4 linked regions of the Anolis sagrei genome follow. The protein of the gene in region 1 purifies or fractionates together with the protein of each later gene. This does not show direct contact. Links are inferred from orthologs where the notes say so. Each region holds a gene or a part of one and is shown in the gene's direction. Other genes may lie near its edges. The genes, in order: SEC13, SEC23A, MIOS and KLHL12.

Evidence for each region.
Region 2: the proteins of SEC13 (region 1) and SEC23A fractionate together in Homo sapiens (co-fractionation; 3 studies listed by BioGRID and IntAct, with this or other methods). This does not show direct contact. The link is inferred for Anolis sagrei from reciprocal best matches to the Homo sapiens genes SEC13 and SEC23A.
Region 3: the proteins of SEC13 (region 1) and MIOS purify together in Homo sapiens (affinity purification with mass spectrometry; 5 studies listed by BioGRID and IntAct, counting the BioPlex papers as one, with this or other methods). This does not show direct contact. The link is inferred for Anolis sagrei from reciprocal best matches to the Homo sapiens genes SEC13 and MIOS.
Region 4: the proteins of SEC13 (region 1) and KLHL12 purify together in Homo sapiens (affinity purification with mass spectrometry; 3 studies listed by BioGRID and IntAct, with this or other methods). This does not show direct contact. The link is inferred for Anolis sagrei from reciprocal best matches to the Homo sapiens genes SEC13 and KLHL12.

Annotation. Positions count from the first base shown.
Region 1 is NC_090022.1:49,892,472-49,899,659, reverse strand, and holds the start of SEC13 (protein SEC13 homolog), read left to right. Parts: upstream 1-4,182; 5' UTR 4,183-4,197; coding exon 4,198-4,332; intron 4,333-7,188. UniProt on the Homo sapiens protein: Functions as a component of the nuclear pore complex (NPC) and the COPII coat. At the endoplasmic reticulum, SEC13 is involved in the biogenesis of COPII-coated vesicles.
Region 2 is NC_090021.1:303,519,757-303,527,099, reverse strand, and holds the start of SEC23A (protein transport protein Sec23A), read left to right. Parts: upstream 1-4,335; 5' UTR 4,336-4,553; intron 4,554-7,343.
Region 3 is NC_090026.1:99,931,855-99,939,119, reverse strand, and holds the start of MIOS (GATOR2 complex protein MIOS), read left to right. Parts: upstream 1-4,242; 5' UTR 4,243-4,393; intron 4,394-7,265. UniProt on the Homo sapiens protein: As a component of the GATOR2 complex, functions as an activator of the amino acid-sensing branch of the mTORC1 signaling pathway. The GATOR2 complex indirectly activates mTORC1 through the inhibition of the GATOR1 subcomplex.
Region 4 is NC_090024.1:206,377,245-206,384,142, forward strand, and holds the start of KLHL12 (kelch-like protein 12), read left to right. Parts: upstream 1-3,894; 5' UTR 3,895-4,148; intron 4,149-6,706; 5' UTR 6,707-6,763; coding exon 6,764-6,898. UniProt on the Homo sapiens protein: Substrate-specific adapter of a BCR (BTB-CUL3-RBX1) E3 ubiquitin ligase complex that acts as a negative regulator of Wnt signaling pathway and ER-Golgi transport.

The DNA of each region.
Region 1 (7,188 bases):
GAGCCACCGCGGGTGAGCGGGCAGCGCCCCCTGGCGGCAGACATCCGCAGCGGCCTCTCCAGTTACATTCAGCAGCAGAAAAAAGAGGAGGAGGAGGAGGAGGAGGGAAAGAGAAACAGGATCTTCCCTCCTCTTTCCCAGTGGATCATTGCTGCAGTGGAAGAAATGCAAGGGTTGGCTAACACGTCACACTCTTACCTTTGTCTTCTATACTGTGAATCTATATTGCAGAGTAATAATGATCTATATAAATAAAAATGTAATGTTCGCTTGTGGGATTAACATAACTCAAAAACCGCTGGACGAATTGCTGACAAATTTGGCCACAAGACACCTACTAACCCAAGGAGTGACCAACACTAAAAAAATGATTTTGTCATTTGGGAGTTGTAGTTGCTGGGATTTATAGTTAACCAACAATCAAAGAGCATTCTGAACTCCACCAATGATGGAATTGAACCACACGCGGCACACAGGACTCCCACGACAAACAGAAAACCCTAGAAGAGTTTGGTGGGCATTGACCTTGAGTTTTGGAGTTGTAGTTCCCCTACATCCAGAGAGAACTGTGGACTGAAACAATGATGTATCTGGACCAAACTTGGCATGAATATTCCATGCGCCCAAATACGAACAAAGATGGAGTTTGGGGGAAATGGACCTTGACATTTGGGAGTTGTAGTTATTTGGATTTATAGTTAATCTAAAATCAAAGAGCATTCTGAACTCTACCAATGATGGAATTGAACCAAATGTGGCATACAGGACTCCCATAACAAATAGAAAACACTAAAAGCATTTGGTGGGCATTCACCTTGAGTTTGGGAGTTGTAGTTCACCTATATTCATAGAGCACTGTGGACTCAAACAATGATAGATCTGGACCAAACTTGGCACAATTATCCCATATGCCCAAATATGCACACAGATAAAGTTTGGGGGAAATAGACCTTGACACTTGGGAGTTGCAGTTCCTGGGATTTATAGTTCACCTACAACCAAAGAGTCGCCCTAAAGGGCTGAGAATGGCGGTTAATAAATGCATCAAATAAATAAATGCATCAAAGAGCATTCCGAACCCTGTCAATGACAGAACTCGAGCAAACTTCCCACACAGAACCCCCATGACCAACAGAAAATACTTAAGGCCACCCAGTCCAACTCCCTTCACCAGGGCAAGAAAACGTTATCAAAATCCTCCTGACAAAGAGCCATCCAGCCATAGATAGATATATATGATTCACACACAGAGAGATATAGTATTATAGATTTGAAAGGGACCCCTAAAGAAGGACAATTATATGTTGCATGTTCCAGAGTAGGCAAACTAGACAATCTTCACATCAACACTGACAAAGAAACAACAAGAAATACTGTTTACCCACAAGCATAAATAAATTACATACAGTATATTAGAAACCAACACTTTCTCATTACTTTATTTTCCAGATCACCAGACTGGGCCACAGCAACGCATGGCAGGGGGCGGCTAATAATAATAATAATAATAATAATAATAATAATAATCTTTATTTATACCCCGCCACCATCTCCCCAAGGGGACTTGGGGCGGCTTACATGAAGCCGAGCCCAGCAGTACAGTACAACAATATGCAACAGGACACAGCAAAAATATAAAAATAAAATAAAGTACAACACAAAACCACTTTAAGAACACATCAACAATATAAAATCACAACATTTGAAACACAGAGATTGATCATATTGAGTGGGCTGATTTCAATGGATTAAAAATTTAAAAACACTGCTTGAGACAGCAGTGTAATGTATCTGGACAGGGGATCCAGAAAAATAGAGTAGTGTGAGATTGCACAGCAGGTAAAAGAACGTGCTACTGAAGGCATTTTTCCAAAGGTAGGTCATGTCAGGGTATTACTGTTCAGAATGAATGCAACATGACAGCACTTTCAACTTCCATGGCCCACTGCTATGAAACCATGGGATGTGTAGTTTTTATCAGGACTTCCATGACAAGGAGGAAACTACAAACTACAACTCCCAGGATTCCATAGCATTGAGCTATGATAGTCAAAGGAGTGTCAAGCTGCATTATTTTAGGACCCAAGCTTTAGAATCATAGAGTAGGAAGAGACCTCAGGGGCCATCCAGTCCAACCCCCTGCTAAGAAGCAGAAAAATTGCAATCAAAGCACCCCCGGCAGATGGCCATCCAGCCTCTGTTTAAAAGCTTCCAAAGAAGGAGCCTCCACCACGCTCCGGGGCAGAGTTCCACTGCTGAACAGCTCTCACAGTCAGAAAGTTCTTCCTAATGTTCAGATGGAATCGCCTTTCTTGTAGTTTGAAGCCATTGTTCTGTGTCCTAGTCTCCAGGGCAGCAGAAAACAAGCCAACTCTATCCTCCCTAAGACTTCTCCTTGCATATTTACACATGGCCCTCATCATGTCTCCTCTCAGTCTTCTCTTCTGAAGGCTAAACATGCCCAGCTCTTTAAGCCGCTCCTCATAGGATTTGTTCTCCAGATCCTTGGTCATTTCAGTCGCCCTCCTCTGGACACATTCCAGCTTGTCAATATCTCTCTTCAATTGTGGTGCCCAGAATTGGAAACAATATTCCAGGTGTGGTCTAACCAAGGCAGAATAGAGGGGCAGCATGACTTCCCGAGATCTAGACAGTATTCTCCTATTGATGCAGGCCAAAATCCCATTGGCTTTTTTTGCTGCCGCATCACATTGTTGGCTCATGTTTAACTTGTTGGCCACAAGGACCCCAAGATCTTTTTCACACGTACTGCTCTAGAGCCACGTGTCCTCCATTTAATTCATAAATTGATAGATCGTGATGTACTTTAATTTTAGATGTTATGTTATAATTTGTTTTTATATGCTGGGTTATAAGGAACCCCCGGTGGCGCAGTGGGTTAAAGCGCTGAGCTGCTGAGCTTGTTGACCGAAAGGTCATAGGTTCGAATCTGGGGAGCGGCGTGAGCTTCCGATGTCAGCCTCAGCTTCCGCCAACCTAGCAGTTTGAAAACATGCAAATGTAAGTAGATCAATGGGTACCGCTCCAGTGGGAAGGTAACGGCGCTCCATGCAGTCATGCCGGCCACATGATCTTGGAGGTGTCTACGATCAACGCTGGCTCTTTGGATTAGAAATGGACATGATCACCACACCCCAGAGTGGGACACGACTGGACTTAATGTCAGGGGAAAACCTTTACCTTTACCTACCATTGTAATGCTAGGAAGTCATAGAAGTTGTAATTTGGAACTACATTCTTTGACAGAGAAGGCTAAAGGCCTTGGAAAAAATATTTATTTATTATTTATTTATTTACAGTATTTATATTCTGCCCTTCTCACCCCGCCGGGGACAAACATTCAATGCCAAAGACACACAACAGATATAGACAGACAGGCAGAGGCTATTTAACTTTTTTCTGGCCACCAGGGGAGCTGTTGCTTTCATCGTCCATCTGTGACACTAATGAAGTACTAAGGAGCCCCCGGTGGCGCAGTGGGTTAAACCTCTGTGCCAGCAGGACTGAAGACCAACAGGTCGCAGGTTCAAATCCAGGGAGAGGTGGATGAGCTCCCTCTATCAGCTCCAGCTCCTCATACGGGGACATGAGAGAAACCTCCCACAAGGATGATAAAAATATCAAATCATCCAGGCGTCTCTTGGGCAACATCCTTGCAGACAGCCAATTCTCTCACACCAGGAGTCACTCCTGACACGACAAAAAAATAATAATGAAGTACTTCCGCATTCCCAGCATGCTTTTGCTGGAGTCTTTTTTCTTGCCTCATAAATTAGTTAAATTATCCTCCCCACACCTAGGTGGTACCTAATTTTCCTACTTGACAGATGCAACTGTCTTTCGGATTGCAAAGGTCGACAACAAGCTACACAAATGGTCGGAAGCTCACTCCGACCCGGGCTGGCTTTGAACTCATTCATGACCTTTTGCTCAGAAGTGATCTTAATGCAGCTGACACTCAACCAGCTACGCTACAGTCCCGGTGCTACATTTCCCGGGATTCCTGAGCACTGAGACGAGGCATGTTAAGTGGTGTCGAACTGCATTCATCCTCCAGTGTCGGTGAATCGAGGCCTGGAACCTCCACTTCGTGCAGTGGAGGAGGAGGAGAAGGAGGAGGAGGAGGAGGAGGAACCAAGCTGCAGGCGGAACCTTTGTGCCGCCTACAGGGGGACGATGTTTCCGCCCGGACGCGCTTCCGTGTTGGACCCACGCCTCGGCGGCGCTTTGCCACGTCTGAGTGCTGCCGGGAGAGCCGTGTCTGCAGCCGGGTTCGGTCCTGCCGAAGGTCCCTCCGCCGTCGCCGCCATGGTGAGGAGCTGCCCGGGGATGGGTAGGAGGGAGGAGGCCCAGCGGAGAAGGCGAAAGGCCTTGTCAAACAGGCCTGGGCCAACTTGGGCCCTCCAGGAGTTTTGGACTCCAACTCCCACCATTCCTCACAGCCTCAGGCCTTTTCCTTTTCCCCCCTCAGCCGCTTAAGCCCAAGTTGGCCCAGACCTGATTACACGTCTTTCCCTTCCCTAACTTGGAGGCTGAAAGGCAGTTCTGTACTTTGTTCCATACTACTAGTGTTCAAAGGTGAATCCCCTCCCCTGAGTTATACCTTGCTGGAGGCTCTTCTCACAGGGTTGCTTGGGTTTGTTTTAAAGGGCGCTTACCTTGCACTGTTTTGAAAGCGAAAACTGGATTAGTGCGAAAAGGATAAACTCTGGATCGGAAAATCTTCTAGTATGGTGAGATTGTTGTTGTTTAGTTCTGTACTGGCTTGACAGTTCAGTTTATTGGCTGTGAAATGGGTATAGTACTCTTGTCTGCTTGAGGCAAGTGTGAATGTTGCAGTTGGCCATCTTGATTAGCATTGAATAGCTTTGCAGCTTCAAAGACTTGCTGCTTCCTGCCTGGGACATCCTTTGTTGGGAGGTGTTAACTGTCCCTGATTGTTTCTTGTCTGGAATTCTCTGGGGTTTTTTTTTAGTGTTGTTCTTTATTTACTTTCCTGATTTTAGAGTTTTTTAAATACTGGTACCCAGATTTTGTTCATTTTCATGGTTTCCTCCTTTCTGTTGAAATTGTCCACATTGTGGATTTCAATGACTTCTCAGTGTAGCCTGACATGGTGGTTGTCATAGTGGTCCAACATTTCTGTGTTCTCAAATAGTATGCTGTATACAGGTTGGTTCATCAAGTGCTCTGCTATGGCTGTGTAGGATTTCTGTAAACTGTGTGGCCCATCACGTAACATGAAAGGCATTGCAGACAAATTCAACCAAAGAAGTCAGCCATAGCAGAGTTTAACCACCTTGAGTTGCCTATAGGCTGAGAAAGGCGGTATACAAGCTTCCGGTTCCGGTATGGTGGCTGGCAGCAAACGCTGGGCTGCTCAGCCAAATTTTTCAATCTGGGGGAATCCGGAGCCCCCCCCCCCCCCTGCCTACCATCTCTTAGACGGGGGGTGAGAGAAACCCAAGCCTCAAGCCCCTGATAGAGGGGCGGAAGACCGGAAAAGAGGCTGGGGAAGGCGAAAAAACCCGGGAGATTGAGAAGGGGAAGGAGACGCCCGCCATCTTACCGCCTTCTAGTACGGCCGCCGAGATCGCTGCAGCTGCCGTTGTCGCTACCGTTGGCCCGCTGCCACCATTGATGGTAGGAGGATCGTTGCGAGGGCCACTGGCAGGCTGCTGAAGGGCAGCGTGAGGGAGGACGCCTGGTCGCCGCTGGGCCGCCGCGGCCGAGGGCAGCCTGGCCGGAAGGAAGGGCCGAGGGCTGCCTGGCCCCCTCCGCCGTGCCGCCGGGCCGGCGAATCGCCGCCTACCAGGTGACGAGTGACGAACCGCCGCCGGGGAGCGAGGAAGCCTGAAGCCGGGTGACGGGCCGCCGCTCCGAGCCGCCGAGCCGCCGAGCCGCTGAGCAGCCGCTGCCGGACCATTGCCGCCGCCGCCGCCGGCCGCCGGGTGGGGGGTTGGGCGCTCCCTAGCCCCCGCAACCGCGGCCGGTAGAGAGTCATCGCTGCGGCTTTGCCGGGCTGCTGGGCCACTGCTGAGTTGCTGGGCCCGTTTTTGGCCATCAGGCGAGTCCGTCTTCACCCTCCATTTTAGACGAGCTTCACCCTCCATCTTAACGAGCTTTTCGAGTCTCTACACCGAGCTCCCCATTGTCGGCTGAACCCATCTCGCCTCTCATCTTCACCCGCCGGTACAGAGGACCTCGTGCTGCCAACCTCCATCAGGCTATTGTTGAAACCGAGGGCCGCTTGGCCGGAAGAAAGGCCGAGTGCTGCCAGCTGCAAAGTCATCGTTGCTAGGCCCCACTGGGTTGCTGGGCCGCTGTTGGGCCGCCGAGCCATTCCACCTTTGGGCAAGTCCGCTTTTACTGAATGCTACTCTCGTGTAGACAGCTGTGCGGACCTTTGGCCGGCATTCGGGTTCTCTTTTTGTTTGGAGATCTTTAAGCTGGTTTCCCCTCTGTTTCCCCTCTGTGATCCTCTGAGCAAAGTGTGACTAACCATCTGTGCTGCCCCACCCCCGAGGTACCAACTCCGGAAGCCTATCCGCTGGTTACCAACCGTCTAAGCCCGATTGGGGGTCATAGCAATATTAGTTAACCACTACCATTATCGTACACGGGTAGTTGTATAATTATCAACTAGCACCTCCCGGTAGTCCTTGTTGTTATTGTTATCATTGTTATAAGAACGATTTGGAACACCCAAGCGTCTTCCATCTGCTGCTAGATTGCATCAGCACTTTCACCCCTTCCCTGTCCCTCCGTGCCGCACTTTATACCGTTAAGTAGAGCACTTTAGATCTAGCATTTATCAATGTGCTTTTGAATGTGTGTTGCTGCTGAGTAATTTACGATCATTTACGATCATCCTCGTTCATTGACGGACTGTTCCAGAAATTGTTGCACTTTAAGAACTTTAAGAATTGGCACTTTAAGACCTGACGATATTTTGCACTTTAAGAACTGGCTATATCGATACCACCATCTGAATCGTCGCCACCCATGTGGTCCCCTGCCCCCCTCTGGATACTGCTTACGTTGCTCTGCTGTGGCGGAGGGGGCGGAAGAGGAGGTGGCCCGGAACCTGGGATTGAGAGTGTGGTGGGGAGGGGGGAGGAGGGGGAGGGGGGATGCTGGCAAGAACTAATAAGCTTAACAACAAGC
Region 2 (7,343 bases), on another chromosome or scaffold:
CTCCCATAATGCCCAGCGCCTTTTATTTACATAGCTCCGCCTCCTCCTGTCGTAGCCTTCTTTGGCTTGCTTTTCCAAGCCTGGAGGAATGATGGAAAGTCTCAGTTTAAGGCATTTTGGACGTCAATTTCTTAATTCTTAGGTCATGCTGGATGGAAATTGCAGTGCAACTGTCAGGAGGGCCAGATCATCATGATCTCCAGGAAAAAAAGGATTTCTCTACTTTGAAGGGATGGGGAAATACAACACCTATTAAAGATGATCATTGATGCTTAGTGGAACTATTTAGGGCAAAGGGAAGAGGTCATCAGACACAAAAGCAAATACTTCTGTTTGGCACCATCTCCTATGGGAGGTGTTTACAGAAAGAACACATAATAATAATAATAATAATAATAACAACAACAACTTTATTTATACCCCGCTCCATCTCCCCCAGGGGGACTCGGTACAGCTTACATGAGGCCAAGCCCATCAGTACAGTACACAACACAGGTATATTATTACTAATATTATTATTATATAATCAGAATATATTATTATTAATATATTATTAATAATATATTAATAGTATATTGGGGTTAAACCACTGAGCTGCTGAACTTGCTGACTGAAATGTTGGTTTGAATCCGGGGAGTGGGGTGAGCTGCCATTGTAAGCCCCAGCTTCTCCCAATCTAGCAGTTTGAAAGCATGCAGACGTGAATAGATCAATAGATACTGCTTCTGTGGAAGATAATGGTGCTCCATGCAGTCATGCTGGCTGCATGACCTTGGAGGTGTCTATGGACAATGCCAGCTCTTCACCTTAGAAATTGAGATAAGCACCACCTCCCAGCAGGCCCGTAGCCAGGATTTTGATTCGGGCGGGGCTGAGTCTGAGTGAAAGAGGGTCTACCCTAGCAAACCTTTTGTATCGTTACCCCAATACCCCCATGCATATGGGATATATTGAGCATGGTGATCAGATCATGATATGAATAAACAGATCATGATATGAATAAACATATGAATAAATAGTTGAAATAATGGATCAGTAAGGCCTTCTTGCGGACCACCCTGAGAATTTCGGGGGGGGGGGGGCTGAAGCCCCTCAAGCTCCCCCCCCCGGCTACATGCCTGCCTTCCAGAGTTGGACATGACTAGACTTAATGTCAAGGGGAAACCTCTACCTTTACTAATAATATATTAATATATATTATTAATTATTCATCTGCAGCAAGGCCAATACAATTCTTGACCAAAACAGAGCAGAATCCTGAAGAACCGGGGAAACCATTGTGAAAGGAGGGTGATTTTGCTACACTGAAATCCAAGGATGAAAAAAGTGTTTGCAAATGAAATCAAGCACATATAAATAATCTGCAATAAGGAAGGGTGATAGGGTACTTGACAAAAATAAGCACCTGTTAAAAAAGGAGTCCAACTCTACATCTTTCATCCCTAGGAAAAATTGTAAGACACATCAAAATACTGAGAGTGCATCTACACTGCAGAATTAAGGCAGTTTGACACTTTAACTGCCATGGCTCAATGCGTCATGATACAAATATACACTCAAAACAATTATACCATACTGTATTTTTTCAGCTGGCAAATTCCCCCAGCCATCAATAGCAATACATTTGTTAGTGTTAAAGCATTCTGATTTTCCTCAATATAACATGAGGAACATAGATGATGGACCTCCAAAATGTACCTCTTATCACCTTACAGTTCTGCATGAAATCCCCCCCCCCCCGTCCCCACAAGTGTTTTGGATTTTTCCGGATGTTGGAATATCTGTATTTCCATATAGATACATAACGTAAAAGCCAAGTCTAAAAATGGAATTCATTTGTTTCCTATAAACTTTACATGCATGTTCTGAAGGTACTTGTATGCAATATTTTGAATAATTTTGTATATGAGACATAGTGTGATTCACTGAATTATCAGAAAGCGAAAATATAGAAATTATCTCAGCCACCCATTTGGGCAATTCTGGTTTTCAGAATTCCAAAAAAGCTACACACAACCTGTACCAGAGTATTGAACAAATCAGCAACTATTTTTTAAAAAAACAGCAGCAATAACAACACTGTGTTCTTATAACACGGGCAAATCAATGAAACTGCATGCTATGAAGCATTGGATTGGAATCATTATGGCCCTGTCTACACTGACCATTTAGTGCAGTTTCAAACCAGTTTTTGAAGAAAGTGGTTTGGCTGTGCAAATGACCACATAGGAAATACTACATAGAACTGGTGTAAGGCACGGATGGCGATTATACAAACTGCAGAGCACTGATGCGCATCAAGGGCTTTCTTTTGTGGTGCTTTTGCAGGAGTTTGTTGTCTGGCTGCCACAGTTTGAAGCCAACTTTGTATTGCATTAAATGGGCAGTGTAGATGAGGCCAATGGCAGCGTTGACCGGAGCATATGCACATTCGGAGGTTCACAAAGTGAATGAGCAGAGTGTGTTTTAGCTTGCAGGTGTAATATTGTGGGACATGTAAACTGGGCTTGTGAAAAATGTGTTTCATCTAATAATAGGATTTTTAAAGAGATTCTGCTGAAACACTTGCACAAACATTTTAAAGAGAGACAGTCTAGTGTTGTTTGCACCACCCAAATGATACTCTGAATGCGCCTTCAAGTTGCATAACAATTTATGGCAACACCCTGAATTTCATCGTGTTATTTTAGGCAAGGAATCTCAGAGGTGGTTTGGCCAGTTCCTCCCTCTAGAAAAAAGCCTACAGCACCTGGTATTTGTTAGCTAGTACCATCCAAGAACCAACACCAGGGTTAACCTTGTTTAGCTTCCAGATGAAAAGGGATCTGGTACTTTTAGCCTGTTTCATCATAGACTATCACTTGTGGCCGAGTATGATTGCCTGCCAAGTATGATTGGCCGTGGGTCCATAGGTGACTTGACTGGACCCGCATGTTCTTTCGCAGAGAGGACATTGATTTTCAGATGGAAGATGGTCTTGACAAGGGGTGGCTTGACGCACCTTCCTTTGAAACATTTCTCCCTTTCGCCCTCCATTAGTGCCTCTTTGAATTCCACAGCACTGCTTGTCACAGCTGACGTACAGTTAGAACGCTCACGGGCCAGACTTTCCCAGTTTATGCCACAGTTTTTAAGTTTAGCTTTAAGTCCATCTTTAAATCTCTTTTCCTGTCCACCAACATTCCATTTTCTGTTTTTGATTTGGGAGTAGAGTAACTGCTTTGGGAGTCGGTGATCGAGCATTTGGACAATGTGGTCCAGGGGTCCTCAAACTTTTTAAACAGAGGGCCAGGTCACCGTCCCTCAAACTGTTGGAGGGCGGGATTATAATTTGAAAAAAAAGTGAATGAATTCCTATGCACACTGCACATATCTTATTTGTAGTGCAAAAAACACTTAAAAACAATGCAATAATTAAAATGAAGAACAATTTCAACAAATATCAAATTATTAGTATTTCAATGGGAAGTGTGAACCTGATTTTGGCTGATGAGATAGGATTGTTGTTATTGTTGTGTTCTTTCAAGTTCTTTCAAAATTAGGTTGACCCTGAGCGAGGGCTGGGTAAATGACCTTGGAGGGCCTCATCCGGCCCCCGGGCCTTAGTTTGAGGACCTCTGATGTGGTCAGTCCAGCGGAGTAGATGGCGTAGGAGCATTGCTTCAATACTGGTGGTTTGCTTCTTCCAGCACACTGACATTTGTCCGCCTGTCTTCCCAAGACATTTGCAGGATTTTTTGGAGGCAACGCTGATGGAAATGTTCCAGGAGTTGAGCGTGACATCTGTAGATAGTCCATGTTTTGCAGGCATATAGGGTTGGGAGGACAATAGCTTTATAAACAAGCACCTTGGTCTTCCTATGGATGTGCCAATCCTCAAACACTCTCTGCTTAATTCGGAAAAATGCTGCACTCGCAGAGCTCAGGTGGTATTGTATTTCAGTGTCAATGTTGACTTTTGTGGAGTGGTGGCTGGCAAGATAGCGGAAATGGTCAACATTTTCTAATGTTACACCATTAAGCTATATTTCTGGCATCGCAGAGGGATTGACTGGTGACTGCTGGAAGAACGGGCATAGGCAAACGTGGGCCCTCCAAGTGTTTTGGAATTCAACTTCCAACAGTCTCATCTTAAGTGGCTGAGGGGGGGGGGGAAAGAAGAGGCCTGAGGCTGTTAGGAATGGTGGGAGTTGAAGTCCAAAACACCTCAAGGGCCCAAGTTTGCCCCCCATCACTGTTAAATAGTGTGCAGGCACACATATAGCAGTGTAGCCTCTCCTCCTCCTCCTTCTGTCTCTCTGTGTATCTGAGGCGGGGCCTGCTTCTCTGGCCGCCGCCTCCTGCTCTCCTTCGCTCTGCCTCCGACGTGGCACCGGCTTCCCCATCAGCCATGTTTGTTTGCGTCGGCGGCGCTGGGTCCAGAGTGCGGCGGGGAGGCTGAGAGAGGCCCAGAAAGGCTGAGGGAAAGGCCCCCGCCCCTTCCTCCTCCTCCTCTTCGGCAGCCGAGGGGCGCAGACCCAGTCCCAGCGAGGCCTCGACTTGGTGTGGCTGAGGTAAGTCGCTCTCAGGAGGGCCCAAGTTTGCCCATGCCTGGCTTACACTGTAGTTTGTAGTTGTAGCCTCCTGACATCCCTGTAACTGCCCTGGCTCAGTGCTTATAGAGTCCTGGGAGCTGTGGTTTCAGTTGTTGTCAATGCAAAGAAGGAAAAGAAGAATTTAACACCACGCCTCCTTTCCTTTTCGCCCTTCCCTGGTTGCCTGAAGAGAGTGGAAGTATAAGGGAGCACAGCACCCACACACTGTAAAATTGGTGTTTTCTTTTGAGCACCTCTATAACTGCCATTACTCCACAGCATTGAGCCATGGCAGTTGCTCAAAGCCTTCACTCAAGGCTATGGTGGTCATAGGAGTTGTAGTTTATTAAGGTCTTTTGCTTCCTCTTGCCCCAAAGGGTTGTTCCTCACCAAACTACAACTCCCATTATTTATCCCACAGCATTGAGCCATGGCGGTTGCTCAAAGCCTTCACTCAAGGCTATTGTGGTCATGGGAGTTGTAGTTTATCAAGGTCTTTTGCCTCCTTTTGCCCCAAAGGGTTGTTCCTCACCAAACTACAACTCCCATTAATTATCCCACAGCATTGAGCCATGGCAGTTGCTCAAAGCCTTCACTCAAGGTTATTGTGGTCATGGGAGTTGTAGTTTATTAAGGTCTTTTGCCTCCTCTTGCCCCAAGGGTTATTCCTCACCAAACTATAACTCCCATTAATTACCCACAGCATTGAGCCATGGCAGTTGCTCAAAGCATTCTTGGGGATCTATCTCTCCCAGAATATTCTTTTTTTAAAACAATTATTGCCACCTGGCAGACACCAAAGGGTGACAAAGACATGGACAAACAGACTGAAGGATACAATAATAATAATAATAATAATTTGGATCCCCCAAATTATTATTATTATTATTATTATTATTATTATTTGGAAACAATAAACATTGACAAAATCACGATCTGTCAACTGCAAAAGGCCACCTTACTTGGATCTGTGTGCATCATTCAAAAATACATCACACAATCTTAAGACACTTGGGAAGTGTTCGACTTGTGATTTTGTGATACGAAATCCAGCATATAGATCTCGTTTGCTGTGACATACTGTGCTTTTGTGTCAATAATAATAATAATAATAATTTGGAAACAATAAACATTGACAAAATCACGATCTGTCAACTGCAAAAGGCCACCTTACTTCGATCTGCACGCATCATTCAAAAATACATAATACATCACACAGTCCTAGATGCTTGGGAAGTGTTTGAGTTGTGATTTTGTGATACGAAATCCAGCATATAGATCTTGTTTGCTGTAACATACTGTGTTTTTTGTGTCATTAAAATAATAATAATTAAAGTAAAGGTGGTCCCAGTGGTGATCGGCACACTGGGTGCAGTGCCTAAAGACCTTGGCCTGCACTTAAACACAATTGGCGCTGACAAAATTACCATCTGTCAGCTGAAATAGGCCACCCTACTTGGATCTGCATGCATTATTCGCCGATACATCACACAGTCCTAGACACTTCGGAAGTGTCTGATGTGTGATTCTATACAACAGCTAGCATAGTGATCTTGTTTGATGTGTACTAATCTTGTTATGTTTCATAATAATAATAATAATAATAATAATAATAATCTGGCAAAAGAAGACTCTCTGTGGACAGGGGTTGGATTGGATGGCCTACAGGGTCTCTCCTAACTTTATGATTCTATGATAGTTTCTGGGAAAAACTGAGAGCAAAACTGACAAGGGAAAAACATAGATGTGGCTCCTAAAAGTAACTTTGAAAAAGGAGACTGATTCTTGCAGCCTAAGAACAAGCAATTAGAACCAATGCCATCCAAGCCAGAATTGAAAAGTTGATGACAGATCCCAAGTGTCGACTCTGCAAGGAAGCAGATGAAACGATGGATCATATGCTTAACTTCTGCATGATGATCGTGTAGACTGACTACATGCAGAGGCATAATACTGTTGCTCAAATGATCCATTGGAACTTGTGCCACAAATACTATCTGCCTTTGACAAAGAACTGGTGGGATCACAAGCCTGGAAAAGTTGCAGAAAATGAACACGTCAGACTACTTCCGAATTCAGACTTCGGTCTCCTTTTTCAAAGTTCCATTTGTGAGCCACATCCATGTTTCTTCTTTGTCAATTTTGTTCTCAGTTTTTCCCAGGAATTGTCCATGGAGAGCTTTCTTTTGCCAGTCTTCTCTTCTGCATTGTATTTTTACGGTATTCCCTCTTTGTCTTTTGCACTTTAAGCAGTTTTCTACTATTGGCTTCCATCAATGTTGGTTCTTGACTGTCCTTCACATAATCTGCCAGTACATGTTAGTCTTCTTCTACTGTTTGTTTCACTTGCAGAAGCCCTCTGCCTTCTGATTTTCTGGGCAGGTAAAGTCTGTCAATATCACTATGAGGGTGAAATGAGTAGTGGATTGTCATCTGTTTTGTTGTTTTTCTGTCCAGATCATCCAGCTCTGCTTGTGTCCAGTTCACAATTCTAGCACTGTATCTGATGATGGGGATGGTCCAGGTGTTCATAGCCTTGATCGTATTTCTGCCATTTAATTTGCTCTTCAAAATATTTCTGACCCTTTGGACATATTCTGTACTGACTACATTACTACTACTACTACTACTACTACTACTACTATTATTGGACAGTTTGAATTTTGGTGTATTTCCAAAATGCACCAGATGAGATATTCTCAATTGGTGCCACTTATAGATAGAGGGTTTATGCTGAAGGAGTGTGTGAGTGAGTCCCTCTTTGGAGGT
Region 3 (7,265 bases), on another chromosome or scaffold:
CATCTACAAGCTTTTGTGTTCTCCCTGATTAATAATTTTGGCATCTTAGTCAAACCCTGATGTTCCTTAATCACATCTGAAATGTCAGAATGTATGAATTGCTGTGATAATTGGTGTATGTTTTTTCAGGCAGACTTAGAAATTGACTTCTCAAGCGCAAGAGGTTTAAGAGAAATTGGAATAAGCATGTCGGAAGTTCCCAAAATGATTATGTCTTCCCTGCATCTCTTTTTCTGCTGATGAACTGTGGATTTGAGCCCCACCTTGTGGTTTCCAATGGCATTTCTTTTCATTCAGGGCCTATTAATCATGAATTTGAAACTCTTGTGATTTAATCTTTGTTCTATGTCTTTTAATATGTGTTTTGTAGAAATACATTTCAATAGGTGTATGTTTATGATGATCATGTGTTGTAACCTGCCTCAAGCTATGAGGAGAGGCAGGTAAGAAATTATTATTATTTTACTGACACAAAAACATGGTATGACACAGCAAACGATATATATATGCTGGATTTCGTATCACAAAATCACAAATCAAATACTTTCCAAGTGTTTTGGACTGTGATATATTTGCGAATGATGCACACAGATTCAAGTAAGGTAGCCTTTGGCAGTTGACAGATCGTGATTTTGTCATAGTTTGTTTATTTATTTACATCACTTATATCCCGCCCATATCAGCCCGAAGGTGACACAGGGCAGCCGCAGGCGACTCAGGGCCAATGTTTGTTGTCAATGTTTATTGTTTTCAAATAGAACTTTTAGCACGGCACCCAGTGAGCCAATTACCATTGTACTGGTTTATGCCAGAGCCTTTGCAGTTCCAGTTTGAGGTCCTGATAATGGCTGAGTTTTTCCTTTTGTTTTTCATCAATTTGACTGTCACCTGGTATGGCGACACCAATAATCCAAACTTTTTTCTTTTCTATTATTCTTTTTTTCTATTATTATTGTTGTTTAACCCCTAAGAATAAAATAAAAGTGGTCTGTGTATTGTCGAAGGCATTCATGGCTGGAATCACTGGGTTATTGTGAGTTTTCCAGGATGTATGGCCATGTTCCAGAAGCATTCTCTCCTGATGTTTCGCCTGCATCTATGGCAGGCATCCTTAGAGGTTGTGAGGTCTGTTGGAAACTAGGAAAATGGGGTTTATATATCTATGGAATGTCCAGGATGGGAGAAATAACTGTTGTCTGTTTGAGGCAAGTATGAATGCTGCAATTGATCACCTTGATTAGCCTTTAATGGCCTTTCAGTTTTAAGGTCTGGCTTCTTACTGCCTAGGGGAATCCTTTGTTGGATATTGATTGTTTTGATTGTTTTAACTGTGATAATTGTTTTAACTATGGTTTTGTACATTGTGTGTAATTTTGTATAGGCATCAAATTGTGCCTTTTTTTAAGCCGCCCTGAGTCCCCCCTCGGGGGTTGAGAAGGGCGGGGTAAAAGTACCCGAAATAAATAAATAAGTGATCTGATTTTATTAAAATATTGATATCCCACTTTGTATCATGCGATATTAGGGTGCCATATACACATAGAATCATAGAGTTGGAAGAGACTCATGGGCCACCCAGTCCAACCCCCGACAAGACGCAGGAAAATCGCAATCAAAGCACCCCCCAACAGATGGCCATCCAGTCTCTGCTTAAAAGCCTCCAAAGGAGGAGCCTTCACCACACACAGGGGCAGAGAGTTCCACTGCTGATCAGCTCTCACACTCAGGAAATTCTTCCTAATGTTAAGGTGGAATCTCCTTTCTTGTAGTTTGAAGCCATTGGTCCGCGTCCTGGTCTCCAGGGCAGCAGAAAACAAGCTTGCTCCCTTTGCTTCCATCTACCATACCATTTCCATCTTGATTTTTACTTACAACTTGTTCAAGGTCACAATTGAGGTTAAACCTTTGAGGTTTACTTGGTTTTCTATTTCAATGATGCTGTGATTACTCTTAGGTAAGTGGCTATAAGATTAATTGGAAGTAAGTGGCTGCAAATGGGATTCTGCCTTATGGATAGAGCAATTATATGAATGTGTATTTGGCCATAGAGCTCTGCTGAGGCTTATTGCTAGGGTGGGTCCTATATAAGACCTAATGTAGGAATCAGCCTCATTGAACCCAGCAGAGTTCTATTGCTCCTTTTTCCCCCTGTGTCAGGAGTGACTTGAGAAACTGCAAGTCGCTTCTGGTGTGAGAGAACTGGACGTTGCCCAGGGGACAGCCAGTTGTTTTGATGTTTTACCATTCATTTTAGTTGCCCTCCTCTGGACACTTTCCAGCTTGTCGATACTTCTCTTGAATTGTGATGTCCAGAATTGGACACAGTATGAGGTCTGACCAAAGCAGAATAGAGTGGCACTCTGACTTCCCTTGATCTAGACCAGGGGTCCTCAAACGTTTTAAACAGAGGGCCAGGTCACAGTCCCTCAAACTGTTGGAGGGCTGGATTATAATTTGAAAAAAAAAACATGAATGAATTCCTGTGCACACTGCACATATCTTATTTGTAGTGCAAAACACTTAAAAAAATACAGTAATTAAAATGAAGAACTATTTTAACAAATATAAACTTATTAGTATTCCAATGGGAAGTGTGGGGCTGCTCTTGACTGATGACTGATTGTTGTTGTGTACTTTCAAGTCGTTTCAGACTTAGGTTGACCCTGAGCGAGGGCTAGGTAAATGACCTTGGAGGGCCGTATCTGGGCCCCGGGCCTTAGTTTCAGGACCCCTGATCTAGACACTATACTCCCTCTATTCTGCTTTGGTTAGACCACACCTGGAATATTGTGTCCAATTCTGGGCACCACAATTCAAGAGAGATATTGACAAGCTGGAATGTGTCCAGAGGAGGGCGACTAAAATGATCAAGGGTCTGGAGAACAAGCCCTATGAGGAGCGGCTTAAGGAGCTGGGCATGTTTAGCCTGAAGAAGATAAGGCTGAGAGGAGATATGATAGCCATGTATAAATATGTGAGAGGAAGCCACAGGGAGGAGGGAGCAAGCTTGTTTTCTGCTTCCTTGGAGACTAGGACACGGAACAATGGCTTCAAACTACAAGAGAGGAGATTCCATCTGAACACGAGGAAAAACTTCCTGACTGTGAGAGCCGTTCAGCAGTGCAACACTCTGCCTCGGAGTGTGGTGGAGGCTCCTTCTTTGGAAGCTTGTAAACAGAGGCTGGATGGCCATCTGTCAGGGGTGATTTGAATGCAATATTTTAAATATTTGAATGAAGCTTTTAAACAGAGGTTGGATGGCCATCTGTCAGGGGTGATTTGAATGCAATATTTTAAATATTTGAATGAAGCTTTTAAACAGAGGTTGGATGGCCATCTGTCAGGGGTGATTTGAATGCAATATTTTAAATATTTGAATGAAGCTTTTAAACAGAGGCTGGATGGCCATCTGTCAGGGGTGATTTGAATGCAATATTTTAAATATTTGAATGAAGCTTTTAAACAGAGGTTGGATGGCCATCTGTCAAGGGTGATTTGAATGCAATATTCCTGCTTCTTGGCAGGGGGTTGGACTGGATGGCCCATGAGGTCTCTTCCAACTCTTTGATTCTATGATTCTATGCAGCTCAAGATCGCATTGGCTTTTTAAGCTGCTGCATCACATTGTTGGTTCGTGTTCAGTTTGTGCCTTTGATTTTTAAAATTCGATGAAAGTGAATTTAAGTAATTTTACAAAATCAATACAAAATGAAATAAAATTTAGAATTTAGAATCCCCCCCCCCCCAAAAAAACCCCCACAGTAAGCCAAAACAAGCAAACAAAATGACACTGAATCTTGGTAATAAAGTCAGCAAATGCTAGGCTGAGATAGTAAATGTTGGGAGGCTTTCCTCGACACCACATCTTAAATACTGGTCAAATGCTCCTATTCTGTCATTTATTTTGCCAGGAAAAAAATTCGCATGTCCCCGCATGGGGAGCTGGAGCTGACAGAGGGAGCTCATCCGCGCTCTCCCTGGATTCGAACCTGCGGCCTATCGGGTCTTCAGTCCTGCCGGCACAAGGGTTTATTTAACCCACTGCGCCACCGGAGGATTCTATGTGGACAGAATTGCTCTGTCCATAAGGCAGAATCCCACTTGCAGCCACTTCCTGACTTCCTCCCCTCTGATCAGGGTGAGTCCTAGAGAAGACTTACTCTGATCAGAGAGGAGGAAGTCCCGCCCACCTCAAAGTCCTCAAAGTCACTTCTCTAGCCACGCCTTCCGGATGTAGTTGGGTTTGACGCCGGAAGTGGAAGCCTCTCTACAAGCTGGAGGCGCTGCCCTAGTGCCAGAGCTTTCCTAGATCTATGTCTGAGCCCTTGCCTGTCTCCCCAGACTGCTGTTGCTGCTTCACTCGAGGGTCGGAGTCCTGGAAAGGGGTCAAGGGGTGAGTCCCTCCCTTTCTCCCTTCCTCCCCCCAAACTCTTTTGTTTACTTTCTCCCCCCTCCTTCCCTCTCCTCTTTCTCTCTCCATCGCTCACCCCATTTCCCCAGTTTCTCTCTATTTCTCTCCCCAGTCTCTTGTTTCTTCGTCTATGTCTCCTTTTCTCTTTCCCTCCTTTCCCTCCTTTTCTCTTTCCCTCCTTTTCCTCACTTTTCCTCCTTCCCTCCTCTCCCCACCTCCCTATTATCCCCCTCTCTTTCTCCAATCTTTTTCTCTGGGTGTCATAAGGAAGAGAGAGCAGGCTTGTTTTTTGCTGCCCTGGAGACTAGGATTCAGAGCAGTTGGTTCAAATTACAGGAAAGCAGATTCCACCTGAACCTTAGGAAGAACTTCCTGCCCCTATGAGCTGTTAAACCAGGGGTCCACAAACTTTTGGACACAGTTTGAGGTCTGACCCTGAGAGTGCCTTGGACTGCGAGAAGATCCAACCAGTCCATCCTCCAGGAAATAAAGCCCGACTGCTCATTGGAGGGAAGGATACTAGAGACAAAGTTGAAGTACTTTGGCCACATCATGAGGAGACAGCAAAGCCTAGAGAAGACAATTATGCTGGGGAAAATGGAAGGTAAAAGGAAGAGGGGCCGACCAAGGGCAAGATGGATGGATGGCATCCTTGAAGTGACTGGACTGACCTTGAAGGAGCTGGGGGTGGTAACGGCCAACAGGGAGCTCTGGCGTGGGCTGGTCCATGAGGTCACGAATAGTCGGAGATGACTGAACGAATGAACAACATGAGGTCTGACCAAAGCAGAATAGAGTGGCACTCTGACTTCCCTTGATCTAGACCAGGGGTCCACAAACTTTTTAAACAGAGGGCCAGGTCACAGTCCCTCTAACTGTTGGAGGGCCGGATTATAATTTGGAAAAAAAAATGAATGAATTCCTATGCACACTGCATATATCTTATTTCTAGTGCAAAAAACCCACACTTAAAACAATACAGTAATTAAAAAGAAGAACAATTTCAACAAATATACAATTATTAGTATTTCAATGGGAAGTGTGGGCCTGCTTTTGGCTGATAATAGTAATAATAAACTTTATTTGTACCCCGCTCCATCTCCCCAATGGGGACTCGGTGCGGCTTACATGAGGCCAAGCTCAAAACAACAATTACATGAAATAAAACAAAACCGAAAACACAAATAATAAACAATAATAACACAATTGCATAAAACAAAAGACAACATAGCGATATAAAATTACAATAATCACAATAACATGGGCGAGCTACATGCATATATCTTATTTGCAGTGCAAAAAAACACTTAAAACAATACATTAATTAAAATGAAGAACAATTTCAACAAATATAAAATTATTAGTATTTCAACGGGAAGTGTGGGCCTACTTTTGGCTGATAATAATAATAATAATAATAATAATAGTAATAAACTTTATTTGTACCCCGCTCCATCTCCCCAATGGGGACTCGGTGCGGCTTACATGAGGCCAAGCCCAAAACAACATTTACATGAAATAAAGCAAAACCGAAAACGCAAATAATAAACAATAATAACGCAATTACATAAAACAAAAGACAACATAACAATATACAATTACAATAAACGCAATAACATGGGCGAGCTACATGTAATGGATAAAAGAAAACTGGGTAGAAACAGATTAAAAACTCAGGCGAGATAAACACAAGATAAACAAGGACAGATTATTTACGGAGGAGAGCTCGTTTCAGTGGAGGTCGTGAGAGACAGGATTGTTGTTATTGTTGTGTGTTTTCAAGTCATTTCAGACTTAAGCTGACCCTGAGCGAGGGCCGGGTAAATGACCTCGGAGGGCCGCTTCCAGCCCCCGGGCCTTAGTTGAAGGACCCCTGTGTTAAACAGTGGGACTCTTCTCTTCAGAGCATGGTGGAAGCTCCTTCCTTGGAAGCTTTTAAACAGATGGCCATCTGTCAGGGATACTTTATGCTTTTCCTGCATGGCAGGGGATGGGACTAGATAACCCATGTTGTCTTTCCCAACTCTATGATTCTTGTATTGTTGAAGGCTTTCATGGCTGGAATCACTGGGTTGTCGTGTGTTTTCCGGGCTGTATGGCCATTTTCCAGAAGCATTCTCTCCTGACGTTTCTCCTTCATCTATGGCAGGCATCCTCGGAGGTTGTGAGGTCTGTTGGAAACTAGGAAAATGGTTTTATATATCTGTGGAAGGTCCAGGGTGAGAGAAAGAACTCTTGTCTGTTTGAGGTAGGTGTGACTGTTTCAATTGGTCACCTTGATTAGCATTCGATGGCCTGACAGTTTTTAGGTGTGGCTTGCTACTGCCTGGGAAAATCCTTTGTTGAGAGGTGATTAGGACCTCACAACCTCTGAGGATGCCTATCACAGATACAGGCAAAACGTCAGGAGAGAATGCTTCTAGAACATGACCATACAGCCCAGAAAACTCACAACAACCCTCTATGATTCTTCCTTCCACCTTCTCTCCCTCTCCTCTCCTCTCAGTCTCCTTTGGGTGTGTGTGTGAACCTTCACAAAGTTTTCTAGACAATATATTTCAAAAGGGCAGGGAGGTACCTCCAGCTTCATCTAGGGCTGAGAAAGTGTGCCTCACCTAATGGGTTTTATTGACTGAATGGGGGATTGTAACCCAGGTCTCTTAGACTCTCAGCCAGAAACCTTGAGCAAATTGTCTTTCCCATTGCCATATGCACCATTTCTTCTGATTTGCCGGGGATAGTCCCAGCTGATCTTCTGTTGTCTCACTTCTTCTGTATTAAAAATGTCCCAGGCTGCATCATCACAGTGTAACAATAGCCTCAGTCCATTTTAGTTAGTTTTGCTGTCCTAGAT
Region 4 (6,898 bases), on another chromosome or scaffold:
GACAATATTAGGATTATTCTAAACACCATAGAATACCTCGAGAAGAACAACCAAGAAGAACTAGCACTACTAAGTCTTGACGCCGAAAAGGCGTTCGATAATCTCAATTGGAATTACTTAAAATTACTAATCAAAGAACTAGACTTAGGATATCAGTTCCATAATGCCATCAATTCAATCTATAACTCCCAAGAAGCCAGGATGATAATAAACATGCAAGAATCAAGCCCCCTGAAAATCTGTAAAGGCACGAGACAAGGATGCCCCCTGTCGCCTCTATTATTCATCCTGAGCTTAGAAACCCTTCTTAATTCTATCAGAGAGGATCCTGACTTAAGAGGCATCAAAATAAATAAGGAAAGATATAAACTAAGGGCTTTCGCGGACGACTTGTTGTGTATCATCAGCAACCCCATAGAAACAATCTCCAAATGGATAACTAAAATTAAAGAGTACGGGTCAGTAGCGGGCCTAAGGATAAATAAAAGAAAGACGGAGATACTAACTAAAAATATGTCCCAGAAAAGAAAGGAAGAGCTTTCCACCCTAACAGAATTTAAAGTAGTAGAGAAAATACGATACTTGGGAATAACGTTAACAGCTAAAAACTCCCAACTAATAAAAAACAATTATGAAAAGATATGGAAAGAAGTACAGAAGGATCTAGACAATTGGAAAAATCTGAAGCTGTCTCTGCTAGGGAGAATCTCTATAATAAAGATGAACATCTTGCCCAAGATGCTATTCTCTTTTCAGTCCCTACCAGTAATCAGAAATGTAAACATCTTCAAGCAATGGAACAAAACCATCTCCAAATTTGTATGGCAAGGGAAAAAGCCCAGGATCAAGCGTCTGATACTTATCGATGACAAAAGAAGAGGCGGCCCCGGCCTCCCAGACTTGAGGTGTTATTATGAAGCCTGCGGTCTGATATGGATCAGAGATTGGATCCTATTAACAAACAAAAACCTACTTTCCCTAGAAGGTGTAGACCTCAGGCGAGGCTGGCACGCCTATCTGCACTACGATAAAACAAAGATCGAAAGGAACTTTAACAATCATTATATAAGAGCAGGCCTAATGAAAATATGGGAGAGACACAAAAAAAGACTATATAATAAAACTCCACTGTGGCTCTCGTCCCTAGAAGCCCTTCACCGGAGAGAAATGGGCTGGCAACAATGGCCTACTTATCGCGACATCCTAGAAAAGGCAGAAGGAAAATATGTACTTAAAGATGAAAGGAAAATAAAAGAAATCTTTCCTAACCTCTCTTGGCTAAACTATAGACAACTGGTTGATAGCTACAAGATAGACAAAATCGCAGAATTTGCTGATCAAAATGGTTTCCTGGACAGCATATTGAAGACAAACAACAAACTTATCACAAAACTCTACAAAAAATTACTAGAGTGGACCACTGAAATGGAACAAGTAAAAAACTCAATGATCAAGTGGGCCCAAAACATAGGCCACCAAATTGAACTGAATAAATGGGAGAAAGTTTGGAACCAAAGAATGAAATTAACCTACTCATATGAATTAAAAGAAAATCTTGTCAAAATGATCCATCGGTGGTACCTGACTCCTCAAATCATTTCAAAATGTTATAAAAACACCTCAAACAAATGTTGGAAGTGCGAACACCAGATTGGGACTTTCTTCCACATCTGGTGGTCTTGCCCCATAGCCAAAAGATACTGGACAATGATTCAAAAAGATATTCAAAAGATCTTAGGAATACAAATAGAAAACAAACCAGAATTCTTTCTCCTGGGAATGTATGACATTAAGGAGGAAAAAAATAATGACAAATTATTCCATTACTTAATTACAGCAGCACGGATCGAATTCGCTAAAAAATGGAAACAGAGAGAAGCCCCTCAAAGAGAAGACTGGATCAATAAAATCCTTGATATAATGACCATGGATGAACTGACATATTGGGTAACACCAAACCATGGCATCCCAAGTAAACCTACGAACTGGGGCTTAGTAAAGGTCTTCCTTAAGAAATTGAAAATAGACATCATTTATTAAAAATAAAAATAAATAAATAAATAAAATCACAAAAGAGTAAATCACAAATCCAGTGTCGCAAGAAAGGAAGAAGCATTAAAGAAGCTAAACTGAAAATATTTATAGAAAATCCTCATTGAAGAGATGGAAGCTCAAAGTTTTTAACTACCCTATAGCCCACCCACCCCCCCTCTACCCCTGCCCCATCTTCATCCGACCCCTTCCCTACCTACCTCCCCACCCTACATCCCTTGGGAGTATCGCCAATAACAGGGCACCCCTGTATTTTTCCTACTGCACTATCCGCTATATATTGTTCTCCCTCTATCTATGTATTTATGTATCTATGTATTTAATAAAAATTTATTAAAAAAATAAAATAGTTTAACTTTTTTTTGTCATGTCAGGAGCGACTTGAGAAACTGCAAGTCGCTTCTGGTGTGAGAGAATTGGCCATCTGCAAGGACGTTACCCAGGGGACGCCCGGATGATTTGATGTTTTTATCATCCTTGTGGGAGGCTTCTCTCATGTCCCCACATGAAGAGCTGGAGCTGACAGAGGGAGCTCATCCACCTCTCCCCGGATTCGAACCCACTGCGCCACCAGGGATTCCAGTCATTTAACATTGGATCAAACTTAAAGAGCACTTTAAAAAAGTTATAGTTGCCCCTCTGTATTGGCAGATTCAGCCCTTTGAAGTCAACTATCAGGCAGATGGCGCCTTCAATGAGAATGAGTTTGAGGCCCCTTCCACACAGCTGTATAAAATCCACACTGAACTGGATTATATGGCAGTGTGGACTCAGATAACCCAGTGCAAAGCAGATACTGTGGATTATCTGCCTTGATATTCTGGGTGATATGGCCGTCTGGAAGGGCCCTGAAACCCCTGAGCTAAGGCCCCTTCTATACTGCCATATAAAATGCAGATTAGTTGTTTTCATAGAATCATAGAATCAAAGGGTTGGAAGAGACCTCATGGGCCATCCAATCCAACCCCCTGCCAAGAAGCAGGAATATTGCATTCAAATCAACCCTGACAGATGGCCATCCAGCCTCTGTTTAAAAGCTTCCAAAGGAGCCTCCACCACACAGAGTTCCACTGCTGAACGGCTCTCACAGTCAGGAGGTTCTTCCTCATGTTCAGATGGAATCTCCTTTCTTATAGTTTGAAGCCATTGTTCCGCATCCTAGTCTCCAAGGAAGCAGAAAACAAGCTTGCTCCCTCCTCCCTGTGGCTTCCTCTCACATATTTATACATGGCTATCATATCTCCTCTCAGCCTTCTCTTCTTCAGGCTAAACATGCCCGGCTCCTTAAGCCGCTCCTCATAGGGCTTGTTCTCCAGACACTTGATCATTTTAGTTGCCCTCCTCTGGACACATTCCAGCTTGTCAATATCTCTCTTGAATTGTGGTGCCCAGAATTGGACACAATATTCCAGGTGTGGTCTAACCAAGGCAGAATAGAGGGGTTATTTCCCTAGATCTAGACACTATGCCCCTATTGATGCAGGCCAAAATCCCATTGGCTTTTTTTGCCGCCACATCACATTGTTGGCTCAGGTTTAACTTGTTGAACTGGATTAGAGGGCAGTGTAGACTCATATAATCCAGTTCATAGTAGATAATGTGGGGTTTTATTCAGGTGTGGGAGGGACCCCAGAGAGCAAGCACTGCTCCATCTCCCTTGACTTCTGCTTGACTGAGGGACTTTATCACAACGCGGAGGCCGAAACGTAGAAACTCCCTGTTGCTTGGCAACCACAAGGAAGCCGAATCCCTCCGCCCGCGACGCGCCTTTTCGCCCATTCAGCCGCTAGGCGGCGAGGCTTCTCTTCGCGCAGGTTGAAACCAAGGAGCGGCGTCCTCGCGGCTGACGTCATCCAGGCGCGCCTGATGCGGCGGCAAAGGAAGAGGAGGAGAAGGAAGGAGCGGGACGGGCGGGCCGCAGGAGCCGGGACTCTCTCCCCTCCTCTCCCCTCCCCTCCCCGCGGGGAGGGCGCGGCCGACGGCACGGGCGGAGGGCCTGCTGGGAGGCGGAGAGGCGGCCCGGCCGGCCCCTTGCCGCCCGAGGAGGCTGAGCCGGGAGCCAGGCCTCTGGGCCGCCCCCCAGGAGGGAACGCCAGGTAAAGGAAGGAACACAGCCCCACTTGGCGGCCTGTCTAGTGTTATCAGGCCTTTGTCACTGAAGGCATTCCCTATTGGAAAACAAAGTATTCCGTTTCAATGTACCTGAATTCCTCTACACTAGTCATGGGCCAACTTGAGCCCTCTTTCCAGGTGTTTTGGACTTCAACTCCCACCATTCCTAACAGCCTCAGGCCCCTTCCTTTCCCCCCTCGAAAGGAAAGGGCCCGAGGCTGTTAGGAATTGTGGGAGCTGAAGTCCAAAACACCTGGAGGGAAGGCCCAAGTTTGCCCGTGCTTGCTTTAGATTCTGGTGAACTGTAGTTGTCATTTTACAAGACCTTCACCTTCCTCCCCTTCCTCAATGGTGGGAGTAGAAGTCCAAAACACCTGGAGGGAGGGCTCAAGTTGGCCCATGCCTGATCTACACTATGCAGTGGGATGTTTGGGTTCTAGTAATCATCATTTGAAACTCTATACCCCACCGTTACAAGGGATAAGGGTTTAATTTGTGGCTGCAGAGATAACAGCGATTACGAATTGGGTCCCTCTTTTTGAAACACTCAGCACTGTATATGATGTTGTGTAAAAAAAAAAGGCCTTCTCTGTGGTGGCTCCTGAGCTGTGGAACTCCCTGCCTAGGGATATTAGATCAGCCCCTTCCCTCCTGACCTTTCAAAAAAGAGTGAGCAAGCGTTTGGAACCACAGCATGACCAAAAACTCATATTGGAAATGAACTAGGGAACAACTAAGATAATGGAACGGTTGAGGATTTGAACAAGAAGACAGTTTATATAATTTTTATTAATCATTGGTTTTTATAGTTTTTAAATGTATTGTGATGTTTTGCTTTTACATATGTATGTATTTTTTAATACATGGCATCTAATTGTTGCCAACTTGTACGCCACCCTGAGTCACCCTCAGGCTGATATAGGCGGGATACAAATGTCTTAAATAAATAAATATTTATATCCTGCTTTTGGAGCCCCCAGTGGTACAGCAGGTTAAACCGCTGAGTTGTTGAACTTGCTGACCGAAAGGTCAGCAGTTCGAATCCATGGAGCGGGATGATCTCCCACTGTTAGCCCCAGCTTCTGCCAACCTAGCAGTTTGAAAACATGCAAGTATGAGTAGATCAATAGGTACCGCCCTGGCTGGAAGGTAACAGCGCTCCATGCAGTAATACTGACCACATGACCTTGGAGACTTCTACAGACAACACCAGCTCTTTGGTGTAGGAATAGAGATGATCACCACCCCCCAGAGACGGACACGACTAGGCTTAATGTCAAGGGGAAACCTTTACTTTTTTTTTATCCCACCCTATCTCCCCATGGGGTATACACTCCCAATGGGGTGTATATTAAAGCCAAAATAATGAAGGCATTATTAAATGTTTAACTTGTGACCTTTGGTCCACCATGTATTTACATCCCTACTGAGTATTCGTGGAGTCTAAACATTAAACTAATTCATGTTATATATACACCATATATATAGAGAGAGAAGTAGCCTGGAGGTAATTTTGTGCACAGTGTTTTTAATAATGTGTATGAAACATGGATTGTATTCATTGAACCATCAGAAAGCAAATATTTATTTATTTATTTACAGTATTTATATTCCACCCTTCTCACCCCGCAGGGGACTCAGGGCAGATTACAATGCACATATACATGGCAAACATTTAATCCCATTTAGACATGCAACATATATAGACACAGAGGTAATTTTACATTCCAGCTTTTCTGGCTTCATGAGGATATGACACTCAGTCATCCATGTGAACCAGGACAGTTAAAATAGTGCCAAACAGCATTAATTCTACAGTATAGATTAGGCATGGGCAAATTTCAACCTCCAGTTGATTTGGTCTTCAACTCCCACAATTCCTAACAACCAGACAAATTGAAGTCCAAAACGCCTGGAGGGCTGAATTTTGCCCCGGTATAGATGCACCCTAGATGCCCTCAGATACATCAGACACTTGATTTAAAAAATATTTTCAAGTTTTAGATGGTTGAATCCATGGAAACTAATGGCCAACTGTATTTTGAAAATTCGAATGCATCTTTTGTTAACCTTACAACTAATATACTAAAATTATATATACCATATGTGTGTGTATGTATGTATGTATACACACACAGTATAATAGGAAGATTTAAAAGTAATAGAAATGTATGTCTAACCTAGGCAACTTCTGAATTTTCCTCGCTCCATCTCCCTGCACTGTCACTGATCCACCTTTATTACATCTTGTCCTTACATCTGATGTTTGTATTATCTCAGTCTGTGGCTTTGTATTGTGTTGGTGTCCTACAGTGCACCTACTGCACATTTGATAATAAGCCAATATTTAATAGTTGATTATTTTGAGGTATATTGCAATGTAACTGAATAGAAGAGTTTGCATGAAAATGGCTAGAGCAGAATGATCTACAAGCTAATTTATAGATATGTACAGGAGAGACAAAGTTCCTCATTCTTCATCTTTAGACTTTGTTAAATTTGGCCTTGTGTTCATCAGTAAACAGATGTTTTTATCCCACAGGTTACTGATACGTTGAACCTGCCTCCACAGCTCTCTTGTTGGCTGGAGTAACTCACTATGGCTCCTAAAGATATAATGACTAATTCTCATGCCAAATCCATTCTCAATGCAATGAATTCTCTGCGAAAAAGTAACACGTTATGTGATGTGACCCTTCGTGTGGAACAAAAATACTTTCCAGCCCATCGGATT